Tamandua tetradactyla: one gene and its partner. The protein of the gene in region 1 interacts with the protein of each later gene in a biochemical or structural test. Links are inferred from orthologs where the notes say so. Each region holds a gene or a part of one and is shown on either strand. Other genes may lie near its edges.

Region 1 (8,808 bases):
GGGGGGGGGCTCAAGCACTCAGCCCCTACAGGTGTAAACTCGGTCCATTGGGTGTTGCAACCACAAGCCCAGGTAACCCAGCAGCTCATGCCCAGACCCCCTGGACTCACGGCCCGCGTCCTTCCAGAGACACGGCCACGCGTGAACACGGCCCACGCCCCCTCCTCATTCACTGAATATATCAAGTGCTGCTGTCTCCAGGACCCTGGCACGAGAAAGAGCAGCCCTTCCTGGCTCTCGCCACCACACAGGCACACGGAGACCCCACTCCTGTCCACGGCCCTAATGCCCGCTCCCTTCCTGCGCCGCCCCCTCTCCAGGCACGACCCGCCACACTCCCCAGCCATTGAGTCACACGGACAGGACAGTGGACGTGGGGCGCCGTGGTAGTGGTAGCCCCTCCCCCGAGTATTTTCCTCCCACGGAGAGTCACCACCCACTCCGTCCCACCCTCAGCCCTCAAGCCCTGCTCCCCCAACTCTCCACTGTCCCAGAGTCTCCCAAACACAAACACGTGCCCGGTCTGCAGCTGTGCTTGCCGGGCGCTGGGATCCAGGGGATTTGGGTCACACAGGGGCCTTCAGGGCCGCCCCCCACAAAGCCTCTTCTCCCAGACAAGCCCCAGAGTCCAAGTCCCAGCTAGACCCAGCGGAAGGGGCTCAGGGGGGCTGAGGGAGAGGCTGGGCCTGGCCCCTCTGTGACTTGAAGGTCCTCCCGTTGCAATAAAAGGGTTTCTGGCCTGCGTGTGGGTTTGTGACGCGTGTGGATTTGTGGCCGTGTCTGAAACCCCTCCCAGTCCCCTCCCCCGAGGCCGGGCTGGAGCCGAAAAACATGGTCCCCACCCACCCTGGCTGTTGACATCAGCACCAGATGTGGAGCCCGGTGTGGGGGCCAAGGAGGGGGAGGGCTGGGCCCGGGCGGGGAAGGGGGTGCAGGGAGAAGGGCTCCAGCCTCACCCAAGCTGGGCTGCAGGCCTGGGAAAAGCCAGCCCACGCCCTGGGAACTCCCCGAGTCCGAAAGCAGAGACTTACAGCCCCTCTGCGTGCTTCTCCCACCGCCCTTTTTTTCTGTCTTCTCTTGTCCGGGAAACCAGAGGCGTCTTTTTATTTGCTATAGAGCATGGCAGTTTTTAAACACACCCCAAGGAGAGAGAACGGCCCGATGACCCTCCTGTCCCCATCACCCTCCCCCATTAAAACTCATCAACTTCTTGCTATTTTTATTTCATCTGTCCCTTGATTTCACCTATCACATTGTTTAAGATTATTTTCAAGCACCTCCCAGAAAATAATCAATATGCAGCTCTAACCGCTAAGAACATTCTGCCCCCAATATTGTATTATGAACATTTTCAAACACAGAGAAAGAAAAATAGAAGGACTTTACGGGGAATGCCCATGTGCCATTTCCCAGGTTCTCCCACCAGCATTTTGCTACATTGCTTTCTCACATTTCTAGCCACCTGACCGTCTATCTCAGCTCTTTCATGCTTTTTGAAGGGAACTACAGACATCAGTGCCCCTTCCCCTAATACTTGGATAATGCATTTATCATTAGCCAAGGTTGACTTTAAAAATCAAAACTACATCCTGTGGTCATGCCAATCACAGCTGTCAATTCTGTAATATCAAATACAAATATAATGTTCTCACTGGCCTCATAAATGTAGTTTAGAGTTGACTTGCTCAAATAAGGATGCAAAGAAAGGCCCACCACACAGAGCTCTCGTTTGAAACGTCACTTTGGGTTTTTAAATTAGTTCCTCACCCTTTTTTATTTCGATTTTATCTTCTTTTTTCCCCTCCTCCAACCTTTTTTATGTTATTTCTCGGTGGGGGACGGCGGAAATCAGTCTTTTGTTGTGTACACGTTCTCATATTCTGGATTTGGCTGACAGCATCTTTATGGTGCTGTTTAAAGTGTCCTTCACTCCAGGACCTCCTGTGAACTGGGAATTGCCCAAAAGATGCCAGATCCCTTGTTGTGTCACATCACAATCACTGGTGGTCCCATAGTTTGGGATGCTGAAGTTTGATGGTCCAGTTCCTAATCTCTCCGTGAGGAACTTCCTCATCAACCTTTCACTTTCTAGCCTAAGTAGAGGAATCCTTTAAAAATATGAATCAAACCTGTTCTCTCCCCTGCTCCCCCACTGTCCCCCCACCTCCCCGTGGCTCCCATCAAGTTAGAATAAAAGCCCAAGTCCACGCCAGGCCAAGACACTGAACAACAGGATTGGTCTCTGATCTCACCTCCTTCCTCTTCCACCCCCCCCCCCAATTCATCTGCTCAGGCCACAGTTGTCTTCCTGCAGCTCCTGCCTCTGAGCCTTTGCATTGGCTGTTCCTTCTGCCTGAAACACTCTTCCCCCACATGGTTCATTTCCTAATCTACTTTAGATCTCAGTCTACTGCCCTCTCTAAAATGGCACACCTACCCTTCCCCATCCTCCCCCTGCTTTATTTTTCTTCACTGCCCATCTCACCCCCCTGATGAATATTTATGATTGTCGTCTCTCTTCCCCCTAGAATATGGAATCCCCAGCAGATTCACACAAGTGAAGAGAGACTTTTGAACATATTTGCAACTCCCCCTGCCCCTCCAAAAATGCCACAATTATTCATTTATGGCAGCCCTTCTAAAGGGTGGTGGGGATGAAGATACCCAATCCCTGCCCTCGTAGCATCCCAGAGACCAGCAGGAGGAGACAGACATGAGACACATAATCACACCAATAAATACGTCATGATAGCCCATGCAGTGTTGCCAAAGAAAAGGACAGGGCGTAAGAGTGAGCAACATGGGACCTAGATTAGACTTGGGGGTGGGGGGCAGGCAGCCACTCCAGAGAGGGCTGAGGAGCTGGCTGGGGAGGCTCTGGGGCCTGGGAGGAGGCTGTTTGGGTCAGGAAGTGAAAGAAGCCTGGGGAGGGGGGAGGGAGTGTCCAGTGGAGATAAGGGGACTTTAAAAAAGGCCTCAATAAAGAGTTTGGGGGGTTGTCGTGGAAGGCTGGGCAAGAGGGGGAAAGGGTTTCACTGGGGATTGAAAAAACACGGCCCGGTTGGGAGATGGGCTGGAGAGAGAGGGGCAGCCCGGAGGGCAGGACCCCAGCAGGAAGGGATTGGGAAGGGGTAAAGGGATGGGGAGAGGTTTGTGAGGCTGACCCTAGGACTTGAGAACTGACTGCAGGGTGGGGCCTGCCCTGAAGGGTCAGCCTTGGAAGTTAAGACAGAAGCTGAAATGGGACATAAATGAGACAGCTCAGCGAGGCTGGACCTGCCTAGTAGCTGGGAGCTCACCTCGCAGGCAGTGAGGGAGGCCAAGGTTAAGCAGGAGACCCAGTCTTGTATTTCAGAAACAGCCCTCTGCCTGCGGGGTGGGCGGGAAGCAGGGTGGAGGGAGCAAGAGGGGAGGACAGGGCAGGGGCCCGGGTGGGAGAGGCTGGGGCTGGACCCTGTGGGGTGGAAGGCATTGGAGGTGAAATGGGGGTGAAATAGGTAGGACTTTGAGGTGTGCAGTAGAGGCCGGGAGCAGAGAAATTGCTCCCAGCCCACTCTCCCGCAGACCACTGTATGCAAAACCTAGGGACACAGATGACACACAGAGGCGCCGGCTCTGCGCCTCTGGGACACAATCCCGCTAGGCCAGCCTGCAACCCCAGAGCACAGAGCTGAGCTGCCAAGAGAGCCACCGGTGCCTTGTCAGTGCCAGTCCCACTTGCTAAGGACAATGGGTGCCTTGGCTAGGTTATCTGCCTGCCCTTCCAGCCTGCTGAGGGGGGGTTCTCTGCTTGCTCCCATTTTACAGATGGACTAACCGAGGCCCGGGGAGCAGTCACTTGCCCAAGGTCACTGGTGGTTAATGATAGAGCTGGGGTTCCAACCCCGATGTCTGGGGGATGCCAAGGCTCAGATCTTACCCAGCAGGCTAGACTGCCCCAGGGGTTTCACCCGCCTACACCGGCCTGGTCTTATGCCGACCACAGGGCACCAAGGTGTCCTCAGGGAAGGGCCCAGAGAAGACCCAGACATCGCCCCACGGAGCCCACATTGCTGTTGTAATCCAAGTCCAATGCCGCATAGCAAATCCAGGAGCCTGACCACCCCACTCCCACTCCCACTCCATCTCCCTGTCTGGGGTTCTGTCTGCTCCATCACACTTCTGGGGAGGCCCAGCACTGAGGGGGTGGAGATGGAGCCAAGGAGCCACCAGTCCAGTCCCTCTGTTTCCCTGGAACAGACAGTTCATGGGGTCAGGGCCTGTTGGCAGGAGGGGGCTTGTCGGGGAAGGTACAGGGCCCAGGGCTGGGGGGTGGGCTTACACCAGGAGCTGCTGTTGCTACCTGCACACCACTCTGGCTTCCTTGCAGGAATGGTCCCGGGCATGTCTGTGAGCGTTTCTGTGTAGCTGAACACACTCAAGTTTCCCCATGTCCGTGGATCAGTATTTCCAGGTACACCTGTGACTCCATTTCCCTCCACATCTGCCTGTCCCTGTCGATGTTTCTAGGCTCTCTGCCTATATGTGTGTCTGGGTGTTTTTCCCACGCCTTTGACTCGAATGCTCGCCGACCTGGGAGCATGCCTGTCTTCTGGTATGTCTGACTGTGTGTGTGTGTGTACGTGTGTGCACGTGTGCGTATGCATGTCTGCACCTTATGTGTCTGAGGGTCCATAGGTCCCAGGTGTCCCCGCTGCAGAGGTTTCTCCGGGAGCTGAGTCCCTCACCCGGCTCTCCTGAGCGTGCCTGTGGGCGGACAGCGTGCCCCTGCGAGTCCTGGGTCCCCTGCGTGTCTCTGCCTGTCCCAGCCTCTGCAGGTCCGTGTCTGAGCGTGCGTATGTGTCCTTGTCCCAGGAGCTCTGAGTGTGAGGGGGAGTGAAGGGCCTGGGGAGGCCTGGCTGTGGCTGGGCTGGGTGGGGGACAGCTGGGGGAGGGGAGTCGTGGAGGAATGTTTACCAGACACAGAGAGAGCCCAGAGGGACAGCGCCCAGAGCTGGGACACGGAGACACACAGCCTCCCTGCCTCACCGCTCCAGGATGAGAGGCGCAGCCACAAGGGACTCTTTCCCCCTCCTCAGCTTCCCCCCAGGGCCCCTTTAAGACCGGGCTGGACCCCTCCTCTCCGCCTTAACCCCTCACTGACCAGCTGGCCCCCTGGGCTTGAGCAGTGGGCGGAGGCAGGGGGAGGAGGGAGCCAGGGGCGGGGAAAGGGTTTCCCGAAGTCTGGGAGCAAGAGAAGGAGGCAGGAGAGCCTGGAAGGCGCCGGAGCAGAGCCGGCCGAGGGCCCCCACCGTGCCAGGCGGCCAGTGCCAGACCCCGGGAGCTGGGGGGAGGGCCGGGGACTGCCTGTCCCTGCCCCCTCCCCCGCGGGGTGCCCAGCAACTTCTGAGGAAAGTTCGGCATCGGTTTTGCGGTGGCCCGAGGATGGGCAGGGTCCCTCTGGCCTGGTGCTTGGCGCTCTGGTGCTGGGGGTGCGCGGCCCCCAGGGGTGAGTGGTGGGGGCCGGTGGGGCAGGACCACCGGTGGCGGGGGGGGGGGGGGGCATGGGGGATGGGGGGCAGGAGCGGTGAGAGGGGGGTGGATGGCAGGTGTTGGGGGCGATTCCTGGGCTGGCTCAGAGTGTTTCCTTCGGACGAGAGAAACGGACTGTGAGAGGGAGGCAGGGAAGGACAGAGACTCGAGACAAACCAAGAGAGAGGGGGAGGAAGAGACTCAAGAGAGGAACATGGACAAGAAACAAAAACTGAAGGAGGAGGACACGGACAGAAAGGAGTAGGGGAGGACAAGGCGAAAGCTGAGGGAGCTGGTGGGGGCTGCATTTGAGTCTGGGGTCCTGGGAAGAGGGGCTGAGCTGGGGAGCACCCGAAGGAATCTTCCAGAAAGGAGCCCTATCTCTCTGGCTCTTTCTCTCTCCCTATTCATCTCTGAGTCTCTCTCTGCCTCGATTTCTCTGTGTGTGTGTCTCTCTTCTGTTGCAGTCCCCCTCTGTGTATTTCTCCTCTTTTCCCTTCACTCTCAGGAAAGTCTCTCTTTCTGTCTCGGTACCCCGTGCCTGGCTTTCTCGGGCTTCTCTCTCTGTCTCTCTTATGTTTCTTCTCCCTCCCCTGCCCTTTTCTTCCCCTCCATCCACGAAGCCTGAGCTGTTTGGTCTCCGGAGACCCCAAGTGAGGGCAGGGCTGGCCCTGCTGGGCCTCCAGGCTGTGGGGGCTACCAGACCCCGCTTCCTTCTGAACGGACCCCAGTGCCTAGGAAGGCGCCCATCCTGCCCCCAGAGCCTCCACCCTCCACTGGCCTCTGAGGTCACCCTACAACTATGTGGGCCTGAGGGCTTGGGGGGGGGGTGTCCTGGCAGTGGGTGGGCAGCGGGGGGGGGGGCAGGAAGGGGTGCAGAGGGAAGTGGGGGCCTTTCAGCCAACCTGTCCCATCCACCCTGCAGGTGCACAGGCTGCTGCAGCGGATCCCTTTGTGAGGAGCCCAGGAAACATCACGGGGGCCCGGGGCCTGACGGGGACGCTGCAGTGTGAGCTCCACGTTCACCAGGAGCCCCCCGAGGTGAACTGGCTTCAGGACGGACAGATCCTGGAGCTGGCGGAGAGCACCCAGATCCAGGTGCCCCTGGGTGAGGACGGCGAGGACGACTGGAAGGTGGTCAGCCAACTCAGGTGTCCAGTTTCTTCCCGGCCCCTGCACCCCTCCTGGTCCCTGTCGTCCCCGACCCCTACCCCTATCACAGCCCGCCTGCAGCCCGGCCACCTGGGTTGGAATCCCAGCCTGACCACTTCCTAGCTGTGGGGCATGAAGTGTGTCACAGAACCTCTGGGTTTCACTTTCTTCTTCTGTAAAATGGGATAATAATAGAACCTCCTCCACGGTTCTTTCCGCTTCCCAGTCCAGAGGCCCCTCTTCCGGTTCTGACCAGCCCCTCCCAGTGCCCAGCTCTGACCCTGCACCTCTCTGCCCCCGTCTTGCCCCACCAGGATCTTGTCCCTGCAGCTGTCGGATGCTGGGCGATACCAGTGTATGGTGGTCCTGGAAGGAGGGGCCTTCCTGTCCCGGCCTGGCTATGTGGGGCTGGAGGGTGAGCCCTGGGGGTCCGGGCGCATCTAGCCTAGGACTGTCAGCGATTTTAAGGGATCGGGAAGCTGGGGGGCCATAAATTCTGGCCAGGGGAGGGGACAGGGATGATAGGTCTGCCTGCCGGGCCAGACATGGTGGGAGCAAGACATTCTGTAGACTCAGATAAGGAGGTGAGGATGAGTCAGGCATTCTGGAGGAGAGATTTGGGGGGTCAGAGGTTAAGGGGAGGGGTCAGACATTGGGACCTTATGTCCTAAGGGTTGGAAAGACACCTGGGGGGCAGGGTGTCAGACATCTGAGGGTGAGGCAGGGTCTTTGGCAGGGAGTGTGTCAGATGGGGACAGTCCTGAAGCCTCCAACATAGACACCTGGGGGGGCGGTGCTCAGAGACCTCAGCTTGGACCCCTGCCTGCCATCCCCGCCCCCCAGGCCTGCCTTACTTCCTGGAGGAGCCTGAGGACAGGGCTGTGGCTGCCGACACCCCCTTTAACCTGACCTGCCGGGCCCAGGGACCCCCAGAGCCCGTGGACCTACTCTGGCTGCAGGACGCTGCTCCCGTGGCCTGGGCCTCGCACCAAGGCCCCCACCAAACTCTGCAAGTCGCAGGTGAGCCCGGCCCGGCCCAGCCAGGGAAGGGGGCGGTGCAGACATGGTTCACTGCCTCTGCGTGTCTGCCGGGCCCTCTTGCCTGCTCTGTGTATCTCTGTCTCTGTTTCTGTATCTCTTTGTCTCTGTCGCTGTCTCTGCATCCCTGTCCCCATCTGCCTCCTTGTTTCTGTCCGTATATCTCTCTCTGTTTCTGTCTCTCTGCCACCCATCTCCGTCCCCATCTTTCCATTTCTTTCTCACTGTTTCTGGGTGTCTCGCTCATCTCTGTGTGTTTCTCTGCTCGTTCTTCCTCCATTCAGCCCAGCCTCTCTGTGAATAGACTTCTTTGTCCCGGATGTCCTCTGAGCCGTGTGTGGGCCTGGTGCCCTCTGTCAGCCCCTGACCCCAACCTGGACCCCGGAACCACCGGGGTCTCCTCTCCGCCCCGCCCCCACCTGCCCTCCTCCCACCTCAAGACCTCTCAAGACCAGCCCAGGGCCCCCAGGGACACAGAGCCCAAAACAGAGAGGGAGGGACGAATGGGGAGACAGAGAAAAACAGTTACAGAGAGGGAAAGACAGACGGACCCAGAGGTGGTCCAAGAAGAAGGAGGCAGGACAAGGAAAGTCTAAGTGATTGGAGAACCCCACCCCCCAGCCTCAAGTGACCACCCAGTGGGGCAGGACCTAGCTTGGGGTCACACGGTGGTCAGAGGCAGAGCCGGGGGCCATGGTGGGTGTCCTGTCCTCGAGGGAGGTGGGATGGGATAGAGGTGCACGAATGGGGAGGCCTGAGGGTTATCGCTCCCTGCACCCCAACCTGCTGCCTCTGTCTGCTGGGGTGGGGAGGAATGGGGAGGCTGAGGGTCTTCCCGGGTGCAGGGAGGTGCCCAGATTCCCAGCATTCCGGGGGCCGTGAGTGTGTTAGGAAGCGGTGAGCACGTCGGCCCCCAGAGGGGTGACTCAGGCCTGTGGCTCGAATGGCCGGGTGGGGACAGGGATGGGGTCTGAGTCAGCCTGGCAGGACCCCCAGGATGGGGGAGGGGTAACCATCCACCCCCAACTCCCTTCCAAGGAAAAAGGAGAAATGGGGGAGTGGTGAGGCCCAGGTGTGAGAGCCTCTGTGTGTGGATCAGTACGTGTG
Region 2 (8,720 bases), on another chromosome or scaffold:
CAATGTAAGCAGAAGAAAGGAAATGATAAAGATTAGATTGGATAACGATAAAAATAGAAGAAAAATAGATCAACAAAACCAAAAACTAGTTATTTGAGATCAATTAAATTGTTAAATCTCTAGCCAGACTGATTAGCCAAAATGAGAAAAGACAAAATAATCGACACCAGGAGTGAGAGAGGTGTCAGATATTTAAAGGGTGTTAAGGGAATATTCTGAAGAACTTTAAGCCAATGAATCACACAAATCCCTTAACAGATGCAAAACCAAAGGTTACTCAATAAAAAATAGTAGGTGTTACAGGAGGAGCACAGAAGTAAAAAGGTGAAGTAGGAAGTTGTACAGATTGTTTTGCCATCAGTAAAATGAAAGAGCTGTAAACAGAGACTGGATGAACTAGGTGGCAACCCTGGAACCAGACTGGACGTTCAGAACGACCACAGGAGTGCCAGACAAAGGGACCACCCTATTCCCATGCCCTGAGCCACGCCGGTGGAAACGGTGACCTAGATCCTGCGTGTGGCTGGGTGGGGCCAGGGCAGAAGAAACCTTGTCTTCCAAGATTCCTAAAGGTCCAGCAAGGATGCTGGCCTCAGTTTTGGCTCTCTCAGCAGGGGCGGCTTCTGGCCTCATACCAGCTCTACTGGGACATAAAGAGCCAATGCACCTTTTAAGTGGTTGGTTATCTTTCTTTCTTTTTCTAGTGTTTTTTTTTTTTTTTTTTTTTATCTGGTGGATGTCTGGGAGACAGGGCAGGCATTAGCCTTGGTTTTGGCTTCTTGGTAGCAATGGCTTCTGACCTCCCATTAGCATCCACTGGGACATAAAAAACCAGTGTGCCTTTTAACACTTTTTGGGTTTGTTTTCTTTCTTTCTCTCTGTCTCTGTGTGTGTGTGCGTGTTTCAGTCTGGGAGATCTCTAAGGGCCCAGCACAAGCATTAGCCTTGGTTTTGGGAAAATAAATAAATAAATAAATAAATAAATAAATTTAAAATATTTCTACAAAGGGAAACGAGAAGTGATTCAAAATGGTTCATTACAGGAGGTCATCTAAACAATAATAGAAAGGAAGGACAAAAAAGTATAATACAAAATAAACATAATTAACAGAATGGCGGAAGTAAGTCTTCCCTTATCTATAATTACCTTAAATGTAAGTGGATTATACTCACCAATCAAAATGCAAATTTGGCAGAATGGATAAAGAAGCATGATCCAATAATATGCTATATACAAGGGATTCATCTTATTTCAAAGACAAGCCTGTCAAAAGTGAACGGATGAGAAAAAATATTCCTTGGAAACAGTAGCCAAAAGAGAGCTGTCTGATCCTAAGATGAGACAAAACAGAATTTAAGCAAAAATCTGCTGCAAGAAACGAAGAACAAAGGAAAAAAAATCCCACATGATTCTCTCAATAGACACAGAAAAGGCATTTGGCAAAATCCAGCAACTTTCTTAATAAAAACACCCAACTTTCTCAACATGATAAATGTCAGTTATGAGAAGCCCATAGCTAAGGTCATACTCAATGGTGAAAGACTGAAAGCTTTCTCCTAACATTAGGAATAAGACAAGAATGTCCACTTTCACTGCTGCTATTCAAAATTGTACCAGATGTTCTAGTTTGAGCAATTAAGAAAGAAAAGAAATTAAAGTCATCCAGATTGGAAAGGAAGATGTAAACTATCTCTATTTGCAGACAACATCCTGTTACATAATGAAAACCCAAACAAATACACAAGAAAACTACCAGAACTGTAAACAAATTCAACAAAATGACAGGGTACAAGATCAACAAACAAAAATCCATTGTGTTTCTATACATTCGTGACGGAACAATACAAAGAGGAAATTAAGAAAACAATTTCATTTACAATAATAACTAGAAGAGTACAATATCTAGGAATAAATTTAACTATGGACGTGAAATTTATATACAGAAAACTATAAAATCTTACTGAAAGAAACTAAAAATCTAAATAAATGACAAGGAGTTATGTTCATGGCTTGGAAGGCTTAATATTAAGATACCAACACTACCAAAGTGATCTACAGATTCTATGCAATCCCTTTCAAAATTCCAGCAGACAAGGGGCACGAGAAAACATCTTCTGGATAATGGATATGCCTAACTTGATTGTGGCAATGGTTTCACAGATGTAGACTTTGATCACAGATGTCAAAATTTATTTGTTCAGTTTATTTTTTCTCACTTATACCTCAGTAAAGCTTTTCAAAAAACAAAACAAAACAAAAAACTTGTTCAGCACCCAGAACAGTGACTCAGGACAAAATAACAGCTATCCAACTCACATTTATTAAGTGAATAAATGAATGGATGGCCTTATTCCTTTGGAATCATCATCCTTAGATGAAAGGAGATAGAAAGGAGAATGCAGAACTTTGATTTCTCTACAGATACGCCATTTCCTATACCCTCACTCCCATCCCATCTCCACCAGCTCACTCCAGGTCATCCCTGGAAAGAAGAGCCGCGAGCTCTCGGTCTTCCTGACTACAGACTGGTTAACCGTGCATATAAAACATTCATTGCTCTGGGGCTAGCCTCCTGCCTCTTGCAGAGGTGAACTGTCTATTTCACCAACTCTATTTCAGGGTATATAATACAGTGCCTGACAACACTTTCCATTTTTAGAACACACTATCCAAATTGTCCATTTTCCATTTCTGCCTTAGAACAAATTTTCTGCCTTGGTAAGTAAGTTGGAGAATGGGAGTCAGCTTGGGTCAGACATCCTCCATTGCTCCCCCTACTGGCCTTCTGAGTTCCCCAGTCATTAAAATCAAAATGAGCAAGTGCATGCGAATGCATTTTATTAAAGCAAATCTCTACATGATAGAAGGTATTATTGTTATTGGGATGCTAGCTCAATAAAAGGGGGTGAATCAGGAATATGGGGAAGTGGGTGAGGTCCAGGCTAAAGGAGGTCAGCAAGGCCCGGGGATCTCACAGTCTTCAGCAGCCTAACACCGATCATCTGAAGCGATGGGCCCAAGAACGAGAAGAAACTGTGGAATCCAGTGATGCTCCCTTTCATTTGGGTCAACATTCTCAGGACTGCCTAGACTCTACAAACCCTCTCCTCCGAAAATAAACAAACAAAATTTCCAAAAATAATTGCAAACAGTTTCCGGGAGTCTACAGACTCCCTGAAGTCTAAGCACCGGCTGTTGGGTTGGAACAAGTAGGATACAGTATGGGAAAGTTTCTAGACCGCAGTCGGCACACAGCGCAGGCTCTATTAACTACTCACCTTGTGAATGGATGGACTAATGAACTAACTGATTAAAGAGCCTTTTGATGAACGACTCAAGAATGTATCCCCCCACCCAGATTGTAAGCCAGTAATGCTCATTAAGAACACCAAACAGGCAAATTAATAAAATTCCTTTAAACGCCAGGGTGTTTGCCCGGCTGAAGCAGCATAGGGAAATCAGCGCAGCTCCCATCACTCGGCGTGCGTTTCCAGCCCCCACTGGCAAATCTAACTTATCTACTAAGAATTTAATTCTCCCTTGAAAATCGTTGTCAGGGACATTCGTCTTCCCGAATTTAATATGGTAACACCATCTTGACACCAACGACCTCCTACCAGCAATGGCGCTCCATCTGCCCGCCACGGAGGGGCGAGAGGAAACTGAGATCCCGGGATTTCGGTGTAGAACCCACGAGCAAAACGACCAGCGTGGGGAAAGACTCGCTCTGGATCTTCAGCGCCGTGTGGGGTGCGTGGGATCTCGGAGGCGGGAGGGTCCCCAGCGCGCCCCTCCTCCACGCGGGGGCTGCAGGGCTCGCTGCCAGCGGTCTGCGCCGGTTTGGTTTAGGTGGTTGGCTGTTTTTCTGTTTGGTTTTTTGCCTATAACTTTGTGACAAAGAGACGGAAAATCACGGTCGCTGAGGACAAGCACAATGTTACTTTCGGCTACATATCTACTTGGGAAATCTCAAGGTTTTGAATATCATTATGGAAAACAGAGATTACGGAAGAAAATAAATTAATCTTGCTTCCTGAACCCAGATGAGATTAATTTTGACCTCAGTTTACCTTTTCTTCGGTGGGTTTTAAATCTTGTGAAAACTGGAAAAGAATGTGATAGATGCTTACTTGGTGGAGGGGGAAAGAAGTTGGGAAAGAGATTTAATTGTACCTAGAAAATGAATTCGTACCTGGTTATGCTGTATCTGGGTATTGCTTTTCTCTTTTTTTAAATCAAAAAACAAATTTTTTTTTTCATCGCAGCATGAATAAACTCAGTCATTGATTTGGGAGAAGCCCCTTCTCCTAGGATACCCTAGTCTAAGCCCTGTGTTGAAGTCGCCACGTTCCTGATTGCGTTTCGTTTTTTTTCTCCCTCTTCACCCTTTTGATCTTTCCGACTGAAAACAACTCGGGGGTTCTGCAAAGCGCTCGCGGAGCTCGGCGCGGCCCCCGCCCGGTGCCCGGCGCGCCGTCAGCGGAGGTCGGGACTGCCCCGCGGCCGCCCCCGGCCCCTCCCGCGCCGGCACCGCCTCCCCCCGCGCCTCCCGCCGCGCACAGACGCCGAGCAGCGCCCTAGGTGCGCTTCCGCGCGGCCGCCGGGATGTGAACTTCAGAACCGATTGGACAAGATGAGAGGAGCGTCTCTCCCGCGGCGCCCGCGGCTCGCCGGGGCCTCCCGGGCGCTCTGACCGCGAGGCGCGCTCTCGGCCCGCACGCCCCGCTCCTCCGCGCCGCCGCCGCCGCCGGGCGCCCCGCTCTCCCCCGACCCCCGCGGCCGCCGCCCCGGGCCCCGGCCCCCGCCCGCCCGCCATGCCGCCGCCGCAGCCCGGCCCCGCCGCCGCCCTGGGCACCGCGCTGCTGCTGCTCCTGCTGGCCACCGAGTCCTCGCACAGTGAGTACCGCCCGGCGCGCTCCCGCGGCCCGGGGGGGACCCGGGGCAGAGCCCCCTCCCCACGGGCCCCTCTGCCCCGGCGCGGGAAGCCGGGCGCTCCTGCCCGCAGCCCCCGCCCCGCCCTGCCGCAGCCGAGGTGGCCGCCGAGACTGCGGCGCGCCCCGGGCACCTCCCGCCGCCGCAGCATCCCCGGGTCAAGGGCGCCGAGCCCGCGCCCGCAGCGGGGCGTGCGGGCCTCACGGCCGTGTTCCCTCTTCTCTTCCCCTCTCGTGCCCTCGCCCCTGGCCCCGCTCCTTCCCCGCCCGCTTCCCCTGGCCCCTCGGCGGCCGCGCGGGCCCGGCGTGGCGGGGCAGCGGTGCTGTTGCGGGCGCGCGAGGCGGCGCAGTTCCTGCGGCCGAGGCAGCGCCGAGCCTACCAGGTCTTCGAGGAGGCCAAGCAGGGCCACCTGGAGAGGGAGTGCATAGAGGAGCTGTGCAACAAGGAGGAGGCGCGGGAGGTGTTCGAGAACGACCCCGAGACGGTGAGCGCCGGGCGGGCCCGGGGCCGCGGGGGGGAGGAGGGTGCGCGGCTTGAGCGCTTCCGTCGACAGCCGCTGGAGCCCCGGCCCGAACGTCCGCCGGCGCGGCGAAGGTGTTTGGAGAAGGGACCGTTAGGCAAATAATTGACACCTTGTCACATAACCGAGGTGGGAAGGGGCATTGTGGAGCGCCTGGGAGCTGGGGCATTTTGAGCGCTGTCCTTGCCCCACCTCGTTTATGGGGATGCCCCGAGGGGGAGACTCCGGAATTCCTCCAGCAACTCAGATTGTCCTTTCCAGAGTCCGCGGGAGAATCCCTAGTGTGGAAAAAAGGGTAGAAAGGTCATCCTCATTTCCTTTCAGCTTTGGGCCCCCAGTGCTCTTTTTTGGGGGGGCGTGTATGGTCCCAGGATCGAACCCGGGTCTCCCGCATGGAAGGCAAGCACTCTGCCACTCAGCCACCCATGGCTTGACCCCATTCTTGTTCTCCTAGTGACCTTAAGTACTGGCGGTTGGAGACACTGCAGTTGCCTGAAGGCAGCAACTTTACAGAAAATATGCCCAGTATAAGGCTTCTCCACCAGAGTAAAATAAGGACTCCGATTTTTAAAGTGGAAAAGAAATAATACAATGTTTAAAAAAAACCCCAGCAACTTCCTGCCTCCCTCTTCCTTCTCTGCTGGATTAGATTTCTGGGCTGGAACTGCCCAACCAGCCCTTGAATCCTCATCAAGCAGAGATGGAAGGTTTTCTTGAAAGAGGAACTGAAAGATTTGAGGGGTGGAATTTTTTTGCAGCAGTAGATCCAAAAATATTATTACAGAAATAGTGCTGTATATTTGGGGGGTGGTAGGAATGGGGGAATGTCGGGGAGAAAGTGAGGAAGGGCTAAACCAGGTGTGTGCTGGGGCCCCTTTTAACAAGGTGCTCTTTTAGAAGCAGCTGCTGATTCGGGACCATAGCCTGACAGGTGCTGGCCCAGGACATATTTCTATTAATAATGACCTTGGAGAATGTGTGGGGCGTGGAGGCTGACCAGCTGTGAGAGGCAGCGAGCCTGCAGAGGTGTCTCTGGAGGAGCTGTGTGATTGTAAAGGAAGGGACAGAGTTTCAGGAGATGGTTATTTAAGAGCAGTGATTGTGGTTTAGGATCCACAGGACTCATTGGAAGCTCTAGATGTTTATCTGTTTGGAAGTGAATGATTTGGGGAAGTAGGAATGATCTTGGAAAGTGAGGTCATAGTGATTCCACAGCTAAGTTTTTGGTAGTCCTGGAATTTTTTTAGAAGAATTCTTTTGGATGGACTAAACATCACATGCAATAGAAGACTGGTTCTTTATAACCAATGTGTGCTTTTCTTTTGACTTCTCTTTTTAATCATTGACTTTATAATCCCTTTTGGATCTCCATTTCTGAAAACAAGCTTTAAAACTATTGAGCAAACACACCATAATGCAGTTCTCCTTGGCACATCTAATTATGCCTGTAACAGAGCTATGGTGGAGATGATTATTTTCTTCTTTTCATCCTTAGTATCAGTAACAACAGGAGTTTGGTCCTGCCTCCCACTGGCAACATTTATGTTGCAATTTTTGTTTTCCTAGCCTCACCTTTTCCTATTTTCTAAACAATGAGTGCAGTTGTTCCAGTGCATCAGGCACTTGGTAGGAGATCCCTAGATGTTCTAGTGGCAAACCACGGGTGCCCAGTCACCCTGGGGGCACTGCCCAGTTGGGAGAGTATATGGCAGGGGCAATGGCTTCGAACCCCCAGGCCTGACCTAGAAAATCTCGCTTGTCCTCTTTGGGAGGCGGCTTCCTGGTGACAGAAGCTGAGTGCACCGCCCATCTCCGTGAGTCCTGCCCTGCTGCAGCTCCTGCTCGCCCAGAACTGAAACACCCTACCCTGGCTCTTCCTGGCTGACCTCCAGGTCACAGTTTCTTCCCAGAGTGTCAGTCCCTTCTCTGATTGTAATTGCTTTTATGTTTAAAGGATAATTATTTATAAATGCAATGTAAGCACTTTACAAAAATACGTGAATGGAAGACAAGCAAAAGGAAAAAAGTATGATTCCATCACTTTATTACAATCACTGTTATTTTGGTATAAATCTGTGCTAGAGTTTTCAGTTTCCTTGTAAGTGGACGTTTTGGCTCCCTCTTGCTTCTTTTATTTTTAATGCACAATCGAATTGTTTTAATACTGGGTCTTTCACTTCCTGGGTCCTTTGCTACTTCTCCTTGAGCAAGCCCTCTTTTCACAATCAGAAGTTTGTAATCTCCTTTTCATAGTAATGCTATCTGCACTTTCCCAGAATTCTAACCTTTGAAACTCCCATTTCAAAACAGCCCTGGGTTAGGTGTTAGGCAAACTAATTCTAATCTCAGCTCTGCTCTGATGGGTTTTTAGGACAGGGGCTCACCTCCCAGAGAACCTTGATCTTCAGTTCATCCTTTCCAGTACCACAGGAGGGGGTCGACTTCTGAAGGGCGTTGGGAAATCCTTAAAACAATTTGCTGCCAGTGCACCTTAGTGAAGAAAAGTCGGTATTGGATAGCGCTTTTCTAAAGGGGGATCGGCTATAAAATTACCCATGTGAGAGTTTCTGCGCTCTGAAAATGTCTGCAGCCTCTCTTAAGAAATACTAGTTCACATTTCCCTGCTTATGACACGTAGTCTCATTTTTTGTGAAATGAGGCTGATGAAGTGATGTGGAATAGAGTGCCCTGAACTTAGTTCACAGAATAACCCAGACTGTTGCAGCGGGAAAACCTCAGGGAGAGGGAGGGAAGAGCTTGTTCTGGGCCCTGTGAGCTCTGTCCGACCAGCTGGGGAGACTGGGGCACTGGGAACCTCCTCTCTGGGCTTCAAAGTCTCTTCACCTAGGGATTCCGGAGATTTATTCACTTAAAAGGTAGCCCTTGTGCGTTTAGTATTTGCCAAGCACGTGCCTTCCAGCTTGTCCTTTCACATTGGTGGGATGGGTGCCTGGTCTTCAGCATTATTCTCTGTTATCACAGGTAGATAACTGAACACAATGGGGGCATCTCCTTTCTCGGATTCCTGCCAGTTATCACAGACCTTGTGGTTTAAAGGTCACAGACCATTACTTTGGTTTTGTTAGGGAAAAAAGAGAGCCAAAGCACTCCAAAGCCAGCCAATCACTCCTGCTGCCAAAGCAGTCTCCCTCTGCATTTCCTCAGGGCTGGTAATTTCTAACCCACATCTTTTCCAGCCCCTAGGGAGTATTCATCATGTTCTGGATAACAACACTGCCCCCTGTGTCATCATTGACACCTCTTCAA

Evidence for each region.
Region 2: the proteins of AXL (region 1) and GAS6 form a complex in vitro, tested with the Homo sapiens proteins (2 studies listed by BioGRID and IntAct, with this or other methods). The link is inferred for Tamandua tetradactyla from reciprocal best matches to the Homo sapiens genes AXL and GAS6.

Annotation. Positions count from the first base shown.
Region 1 is NC_135342.1:22,537,085-22,545,892, reverse strand, and holds the start of AXL (tyrosine-protein kinase receptor UFO), read left to right. Parts: upstream 1-5,100; 5' UTR 5,101-5,424; coding exon 5,425-5,488; intron 5,489-5,654; exon of another isoform or gene 5,655-5,806; intron 5,807-6,436; coding exon 6,437-6,662; intron 6,663-6,977; coding exon 6,978-7,078; intron 7,079-7,506; coding exon 7,507-7,683; intron 7,684-8,808. UniProt on the Homo sapiens protein: Receptor tyrosine kinase that transduces signals from the extracellular matrix into the cytoplasm by binding growth factor GAS6 and which is thus regulating many physiological processes including cell survival, cell proliferation, migration and differentiation.
Region 2 is NC_135343.1:75,407,933-75,416,652, forward strand, and holds the start of GAS6 (growth arrest-specific protein 6), read left to right. Parts: upstream 1-4,815; coding exon 4,816-4,897; intron 4,898-5,250; coding exon 5,251-5,417; intron 5,418-8,720. UniProt on the Homo sapiens protein: Ligand for tyrosine-protein kinase receptors AXL, TYRO3 and MER whose signaling is implicated in cell growth and survival, cell adhesion and cell migration.